Linked DNA regions of Drosophila melanogaster. Changing the gene in region 1 together with any one later gene gives a genetic interaction. Each region holds a gene or a part of one and is shown in the gene's direction. Other genes may lie near its edges.

The links.
Region 2: of pxb (region 1) and hop, changing one enhances a phenotype caused by changing the other (phenotypic enhancement), as found in Drosophila melanogaster (one study listed by BioGRID).

The regions. Positions count from the first base shown.
Region 1 is NT_033777.3:15,664,269-15,668,194, forward strand, and holds the start of pxb (pxb), read left to right. Parts: upstream 1-1,914; 5' UTR 1,915-2,318; intron 2,319-3,709; exon of another isoform or gene 3,710-3,909; intron 3,910-3,926.
Region 2 is NC_004354.4:11,366,341-11,370,266, reverse strand, and holds the start of hop (hopscotch), read left to right. Parts: upstream 1-2,168; 5' UTR 2,169-2,804; coding exon 2,805-3,866; intron 3,867-3,926. Other genes in the region: Tim8, read right to left, coding at 1,387-1,563, 1,642-1,731. UniProt on the Drosophila melanogaster protein: Tyrosine kinase of the non-receptor type, phosphorylates the marelle protein. Required maternally for the establishment of the normal array of embryonic segments: involved in the control of pair-rule gene transcription in a stripe-specific manner.

The DNA.
Region 1 (3,926 bases):
GGGATTTTCCGAGGAGCGAAGCATGGATATTACCGTTAGCGACTTTGACTAAGTTGCGGCCAAAAGCATTTGTCGCTGCTGCTGTCGACAAATAACTATTTATAAAGAATTTCCCTCCGTTCTGTAAACAACTTGTAAGTGCACAGAAACAAAAAGTAGTTATAATATTTTTGATTATATTTGATGATATTTATTGTAAAGAAATAAATAAATAAATTTTAATTTTTGTTACATTTGGTAAATAAAAGATATATATAGAACTATATTAGGCCCTTAGATATATTACATCAAAATTCCTTTAAGTGTAGCCCATTCAAAAGATAGGCTTCCTCATTTTCCACTCTCCACCTAATTTTTTCATCTGCTTTCAGCAACTGGCACAATGGAATTGCATTGAAAACAAACGGTTAAGAATGTTTATAAACAAAACACAGAAGGAATGCGGTGGGTGGATGGTGGAAAAGTGGGCGGGGCTGGGGCCAAAGTGGCGCAGAAGGTGAAAGTATAACGATAAACGTAAACAGTAAGTGGAGGTGCGAAAAAAATGCGTAAACACAAATCGCATTGCAACAAAAAAAGAGTGTGCACCAATCAGCAACATGTTGCTAAGACACCAGCAACTTCTACGGCAATTGAGCGAGAGAGAGAGAGAGTGAGCGCGAGAGAGACCGAGTTCATTTTCGAAGTTCAACTTCGAAAGAGAGTACTTCTTGGGTGATATGAGAAATAACATTGAATTTTCATGCCGGCTGGTGTTGTTGTTATTGCACTTTTACATGCAGCTGAAAAACAGCAACAAAGAAGAAAAAACCAGGAAAATGCTGAAATCGCTGCCTCCCCCTGTTTTCGCCACCACTCCCATCAGACATTGACCTTGATAGTGGTCGTTGTTTTTGTTGCTCTTCTTCACTTGATTGAACGACAAAAAGTTGTTATTTTTGCTTACCGGTAAAAAAAATGGTAATCGATATGATGAAGTATAATTTAGTTTTATTGGGACATTTTCGAATGATACATTTTTAATGGACAGGTGCAGAAATTGATACACTTAGATGAGTAATTTAATGAGCTTATTATTTAAAAAACTAATTGCTAAATCTGTTTTCAAAAATCAGTCATACTTATTATCGCTCGACTGTCTTTAAATCTGCTTTAAGTTTTTATGTGTTTAATAAAAAAAGAAATTAATCCCCAAGCTTAAGCAACATGAGAAATGTTGAGTTACCATTTCAACATTATGTGTTCATATTTTTACAATGGGCTTGGCTTTTCTCAAATATGATTATGATGTTTATCATGTTATTGACTGTCACAATATCACAGCCAAGGAACTACCTATGTTTTCCTGAAACTTTCCATAAATCGTCTTAATGGGCTCGGTAGATAAATAAAACGAGAACAAATAGCAAATACATACAAGTTTTTGGGTGACACTCAAATATAATTGGAATTGATTAGGAATTAAAATAATACTTTTCAACGGTTGCTAAACTACATGATTGTACATCTTTTGGGATATGTACATAAGAGTTCAACGGCATACGATTTTAAATGCAAGGTAAACAAATCGTAAACATTCTTTGGTTGGAAAAGACAGAGCTAGGTGTGCACTTTTAAATAAAAATGTGCCAAGCAATATTTAAAGTAAATTTTTTTATGATTTTATTTGTACTTTCGCCAGCAACATGGACAATTTTCCAGCGCCAGCGAATGTCAACTGCAACGAAAATGTGCGAAAATGCCGATTAGAACGAGCCCGAATGAGTTCATCCTCTCTCTCGGGAAGTTCATTTCCCCGAACTCTCTCTCTGGATTCGGCAGCGGCAACCGATGTCGATGTTGCTGTCGTGTTGTTGCCGCTGCACATGTTGCAGATGTAGCTGCCGTCGTCAGTCGCTCGAAACGAATTTGGAATTCAGTTTTTGACTCGACGTCGCAGGAAACGGACGTGAGTGTCTCGCATGTTGCCACAATAATCGAAAAGAAAACTCTGAACGGAATACGAGACTTTTTTCAAGATATGTGAATCACTAGTGGATTACTGAAAACGAAAATAAATACCAACGAAAATATTTACCACAAATCCCAAGCAAACGATACGCGCGTCGTGCAAACTAATAATAATAAATCAAATACCACAAATATTCTGTGTTGAGTGATACTCGAAAAGTTGTCAAAAATCAAAGCGAAATTCGCAAGCAATACATTGGATTAACAATTGGCTCGAAACCGATTTGATTAGCTAGCAAAAGACAAGCAGAAACAGTTTATCAAACCACTTGACAAATATCCGTTGGACTATAAAAGCAGAAAAGCGGGTAAGTGGGCAGGGAAATGGAAAATGAAAAATCAAACCTGGATATGCCGCTGAGAAATTGAAAACTTTTACGCACCGGATTAGTTGGCGATTTTGGGTTGAGCTTCTGTAGGCGAGTGACAATCTTCTTAGCAAAGATCAACGGAATTTCCCTTTGATTTGGGAATTACAACATTAAAGTATGTTTTAAAGTTGAGTTTTCTAATCTTCAGAGTGCAGTGCTTACTAATTGAAACGAACTGAAAAAAGGCATTCCAGCGGAGTGAGGCCGTAAAAAACGAGATTTATAGGAGGAAGTTGGGGAATTATTCAAATAAGCAAGTGAAGGATTATATCCGATTCCAAACAAAATTCCCCGAAAGTGTGCGTTGTGTCTATCGAACAGATATGTTTATCCATATAAAGTTACGCCCGAGTGATGAGTGATTTTTGTGGAAACAGCAGATAGCTGTGCAGCTATCTGCTATCAAGCCATAAAGCACAGAACTCTTGTGGCGACCCATGCGGCTCCATCAGAATGTAAACAAATCATCTCTGGGTTTCGCTGGAGCTGCGGCTTCTTCCCTTCTTCAAAGCGTAGAAACCGCCAAAGAGACGAGAAAATAAAGAGAAGAAAAGACTGCGAGGGACCTTTAATTATAACCAAATACTAGTTGAGGCGACACCTTTGTTTACCTGCATTTTCGAGCGCTGTGTTTTTCCATTCTGTAAATTTGTTTAAATTATTAGCAAACGCGCAACAAGTGCAGCCAGTCGAAGTTCATTATTTTCCCCAATTCTTTGGCGTGTAAATCCTTTGGTAAATAAGTAAAGTATACCCCGCCTGTCGTCGGCGCAACTCATAAATTCACGCAAAATAAAATTTATGCTTATGGCTGGAGCTGGGGAAGTCGGACAAGAAGATGTACGAAGGATCGCGATAAGATCTGGTCTTAAATGAGTTGTTAAACGGGAATCGTGGTCGCCATGGATATAAATAATAATAACAACTCAATCTGGAGTGGCGTGGGTAGCTCGAAAAGTCCTCGGACAAGTGAACTGTTGCTTGCGGTCACAATGATTCTGGGTACTGGATTTTGAATCGATTTGAATCGTGTGAATGGGAAGCATTCTACCTGTTTGGCAAAATGAATTTTAATTCGGAATTGAGTCGTACACATGTCGGCCCTTTTTCACAGGATTTCCGCTTGCTGTTTAGCCTTTTTTTTCGAATGAAATCCCTCGGCTAATTAGTATGCCAAGCGTGTGCCCCTGAAATTTATAAGCCAACTGACTTTTCTCTGTAGTTGAAACATAAATTTCAGTAAAAGTGTCGTCTGTGCACTAGAGCACAGCAAGAAGTATAGGCCTTTTTATAAACTTGATGTGCCAGTGATGAATATTTGAGTGCAGACGATGACTAAAAATATCTTATTTGCTTTCTGCGGCAAGTCTGCATCAAAGAACTAAGTTCATTGAATAGGCCAACTTATGGCAATTCCTAAGCTACTTACAAGGTAAACTTCGCTCAGACCTCAAACAGAAAGTATCTTATGCAAATAAGTCGCTATATGGCGGACAGAAACAAAACATTCGCGCAGGAATATTAAGCAGTAAGAAATTGTAAACA
Region 2 (3,926 bases), on another chromosome or scaffold:
CAGCGAATGCATAAAAAAATGGATGCTGTGAATTATGTATGCTCCACACATACACACATACACACTTATTGCAACTGCAGTGTTTTCGCACGGAAAAAAAATCAGCTGGCTGCTGTACCGTTACGCACACACATACACACACGTGCCCTTTCGGCAATTATTTGACTTTTCCTGTACTTGCTTTATATCATCATCTGTATTTACAACAACATCCCTTTCACACATGCAAGTGCAAGCAGGAGGACAACCACCACACAGAGACACAAAAAAAAACTAAAAGGTGCACCGTTAAAAAAGTTTAATGTCCCTTTTTTAGTCCTGCAGGCAAATCAAGGTAACTTTTCATGCTTCTCTTCACTTGATCCTTTTTCACGCTTTTCGCTTCTCCTTCTGAACTTCTACACTTCACAGAAACCGACACCGACTGTATATTTTGCTATGTATATTATACACGGACACACACTCACTGGCAAAAAGGACATGCGTTTGGCACAGCCTTCGGGCATTTTATGTTTAATATAAATAAGTAGCGGCAGCACGTTGGAGAATATATATTACGGTTTTCTGCTCTGCTCACGGGAACACTAGTTCTAGTTGGGATCAGTGTGACCAGAGGCGCGCTGCGTGTGCAGCCCAATCAGAAGTCCTGGGCAAACGTTCAAAGCGAGCGCGGGAAATAGGTCCGCAAGCATTGCAAGTATTACCTTTGGATTTAGCAGAAATGCATTAATATTACATTTAGTATTACATTTTATACAGGAAATGGCAGCTACATTTGTGTGTTCAAAGTTGCGTAAATATGAATTCCAATTGGAAAGTTGCCGATAGGTACTTATCGAGTGGAAGCACTATACTATCGATATGGAATAACTTTATTTATTCTAATAAACATTTAAGGAACACCTACTATTTCATTCTAAGCCCCTTTCCAGCCTAATTAAATTTAAATGTATGTTGAAATGATCCAATTTCAATTCTATTTTCCTTTCTGCATAATATTAAGCCATCTATCAACAATATTTCATCATTATAAAAGAAGAGATTAAAACTATCCAAGCAAAGGATTACAACACAATGCATTTTAAACGTACGAAACGAAAGATGTATTTATTTTCGGTACGCTAACGTAGGGCCGACCAAACAATTGAGTTGCGCTACCGAATTAAATATTAATTCCGGAACTCGAATCACGGATTTCAATTTCGGGCTGGGTGCAGACTACGGGCCACATACTTTGGATGTCGGCGGCGAAACGCAGCGCGGAAAAAAATGTGCTTACATGATAATTTTTTGTTTAAAAATAGATTTAACAGTAGGACAGTGACGGAAGCGTCCACGGACTCGGATACCCAGATCCCGGTGTCGGTGTCGATTAAGCGAACAAATCTACAGGTCGCCGCCACCTCGCTTTTGGAGCATCTGAGCGAACCGCTGGGTGATAAGCAGCGACGTGTCGATGAATCGGTCGACGCAGTTGCTCAGGCACGTCTCGGTGGCGTGGTCCAGCTTGGTACTCGGCTTGCCGATGCACTTCTCCCAGCAGATCTCGTTGAACTCGTGTATCTGGCGACGATATAATGTGCGAGGGCATATTGTTATGATTACGAATGGTTATTATGTGTATGGGGGAACCCGGCTCACCTGCGCGTTGACCTGTGCCTTCTGTTTCTCAATCAAGAGGAACTCCTGCAGCTCCTTGTCATTGCCGGAAAGGTTCTCAAAATCGGACATCGTGTGATTTTCAGTGAGCAATCTACAAATTGACCGGGCTCGTCCGGAATTTCATATATTCTAAGGTTTGAGGTTATATAAACGACACTGACAGCTGTGAACTGTGGAATTACAAAAATCGATGTGTATTCGATAGCAAAGCTATTCGATACTGGAAATGCCGTGCATATTGCACTGTTTGCACTGTTGTCATATTTAAATGGCAAGAATATAGACGCCATAGAGCAAATAACAGTATATTTTTTTTTCTTAAGCATCCTCCTCCTGCCAACGAGGGTATACAATTTTCAAGAATACATTTCTAAAGTAAGTTGTTATTTATATTTACTGAGAACTATCGAAAAAGAACTAGAACCTCGCGTTGCCAACCACTGGTTCGCAAGGTGCGATAGTACAGGTTATTGGACAATCGATGACAAAGTGGCTCGGCCGTCGGCCAATCGATATCGTGAGGTGCAAATTGTCCGATGAATTTCACTGAAATTCGTGGCTTGTATTGTAGCTTCGCAATTGCAGCTTCGTTTCGACAGCAGGCCCACTTTCAGATCGAAGGCGTCTATAATCGCCATCCAGTCCCGTCGCCCTGTTCCCACAACGCCCCACAAATTTCGGGATCTAGCTGGCGTTTCGGGTGTCTAATTTCGGACCAGTGCACTGTGATTTCCGATTTCCAGTTTACTTTGCTGACGGATCGCCCAAGTGGCGAAGTGGTTCTTGCTCGGAAAGTTGGCGCTTGCTAAAAGAAGGAGCAGTCCAGGTGGTTCCCCGCCAGTGGCATCAATGGAACTCGCGCTGGAGTTTGGGGCAACCTTGCAACTGCAAGGGTAAGAGCATCGCCGATTCCAGGAGCATTCGCAGTAAGCCCAAAAATAGCAACTCAAGTCAGTCGCGGTGGTCATTGTTATTGGCAAGAAGAAGAGGAAACGGATAGAACGCGGCAAATTCCTAGGAAAGCTCCCATGATCTAGCTTCAGTGCGGCCGCGTAAGGAAACTGCTCCAGCCAAGGAACTGGGCTTGCAGGAGCAGCAGATAGCACCCAGCCCACAAGGGACCACTCACCGACAATCCTCTCATGGCCCTGGCCAACGGGGGAGAGGATAGAATGGACGACAGCAGCAGCGGACGCACTTCGCTGGCGGACAGCGCCAGCCTGACGAACTCCTCGCTGCGCAGCGGCACCTCCTCGCAGAGCATCCACACCAACGATGGCACAATCCGTGTGTTCAACTTCACCACCGGCGAATTTGAGCGTTTCCATCCCAACATGCTGTGCGAGGAGATCTGCAATACGATGTGCCGCCAGCTGGGCATTGCACCAATTGCCCAGCTGCTCTACGGAATACGGGAGCACTCGACATCGCGACGTCCCTCGCCGCTGGTGCGTTTGGATCTGACGTGGTGCCTGCCCGGCGAGCGACTCAACTGCCAGCTGGTCTATTGCTTTCGGATGCGTTTCCGTGTGCCCGAATTGGATAGCCAGCTGGAGTTGATCGATGGACGGAGCCACAAGTTCCTCTACCGCCAAATGCGCTACGATATGCGGACCGAGCAAATCCCGGAGATTCGCTATCCGGAGCACAAGGACAAATCAACGGGACTGGCCGTGATGGATATGCTAATCGACGATCAGGAACAGTCGGAGGATCAGCAGGCGATGCGCTCCATCGAGAAGCTTTACAAACTGTATTTGCCACCGAGCTTGTGGCGCGCCCACAGCTTCTTTGTGGGCTCCAAGATACGTGAGGTTTTCCGCAGTCTAAAAGCGAATTCGCTGAGTGTGGAGCGTTTGAAGTGGCACTATGTGCATCAGGTATCCCATTTGGCGCCCACCTATATGACCGAACAGTTCACCTGCACCGTTCAGTATCTGCCCAACGAGGAGGTGGCCCGCGGTAGCGGACCCATCGGCACCAGTCTGGCCCACTCGACGTCGACGCTGGCCAGTTCTGGATCGACCAACACTCTGTCCACGCTCACCACCAACACCAATTCCGTTGCACTCGGCGGCAGTGGCAAGAAGGCCAAACGACGTTCCACCAGCGGTGGAATCGATGTCTATGTGCGAGTCTTTCCACACGATTCCCTGGAGCCTGGACTCAAGGTGGCCAGGGTCACCTCCGAGGCCACACTCAAGGTACACACTATGTTTCCTTCTGAAATCTTATATGGTTTCTTGTGGTTTTCCCATCGAAAT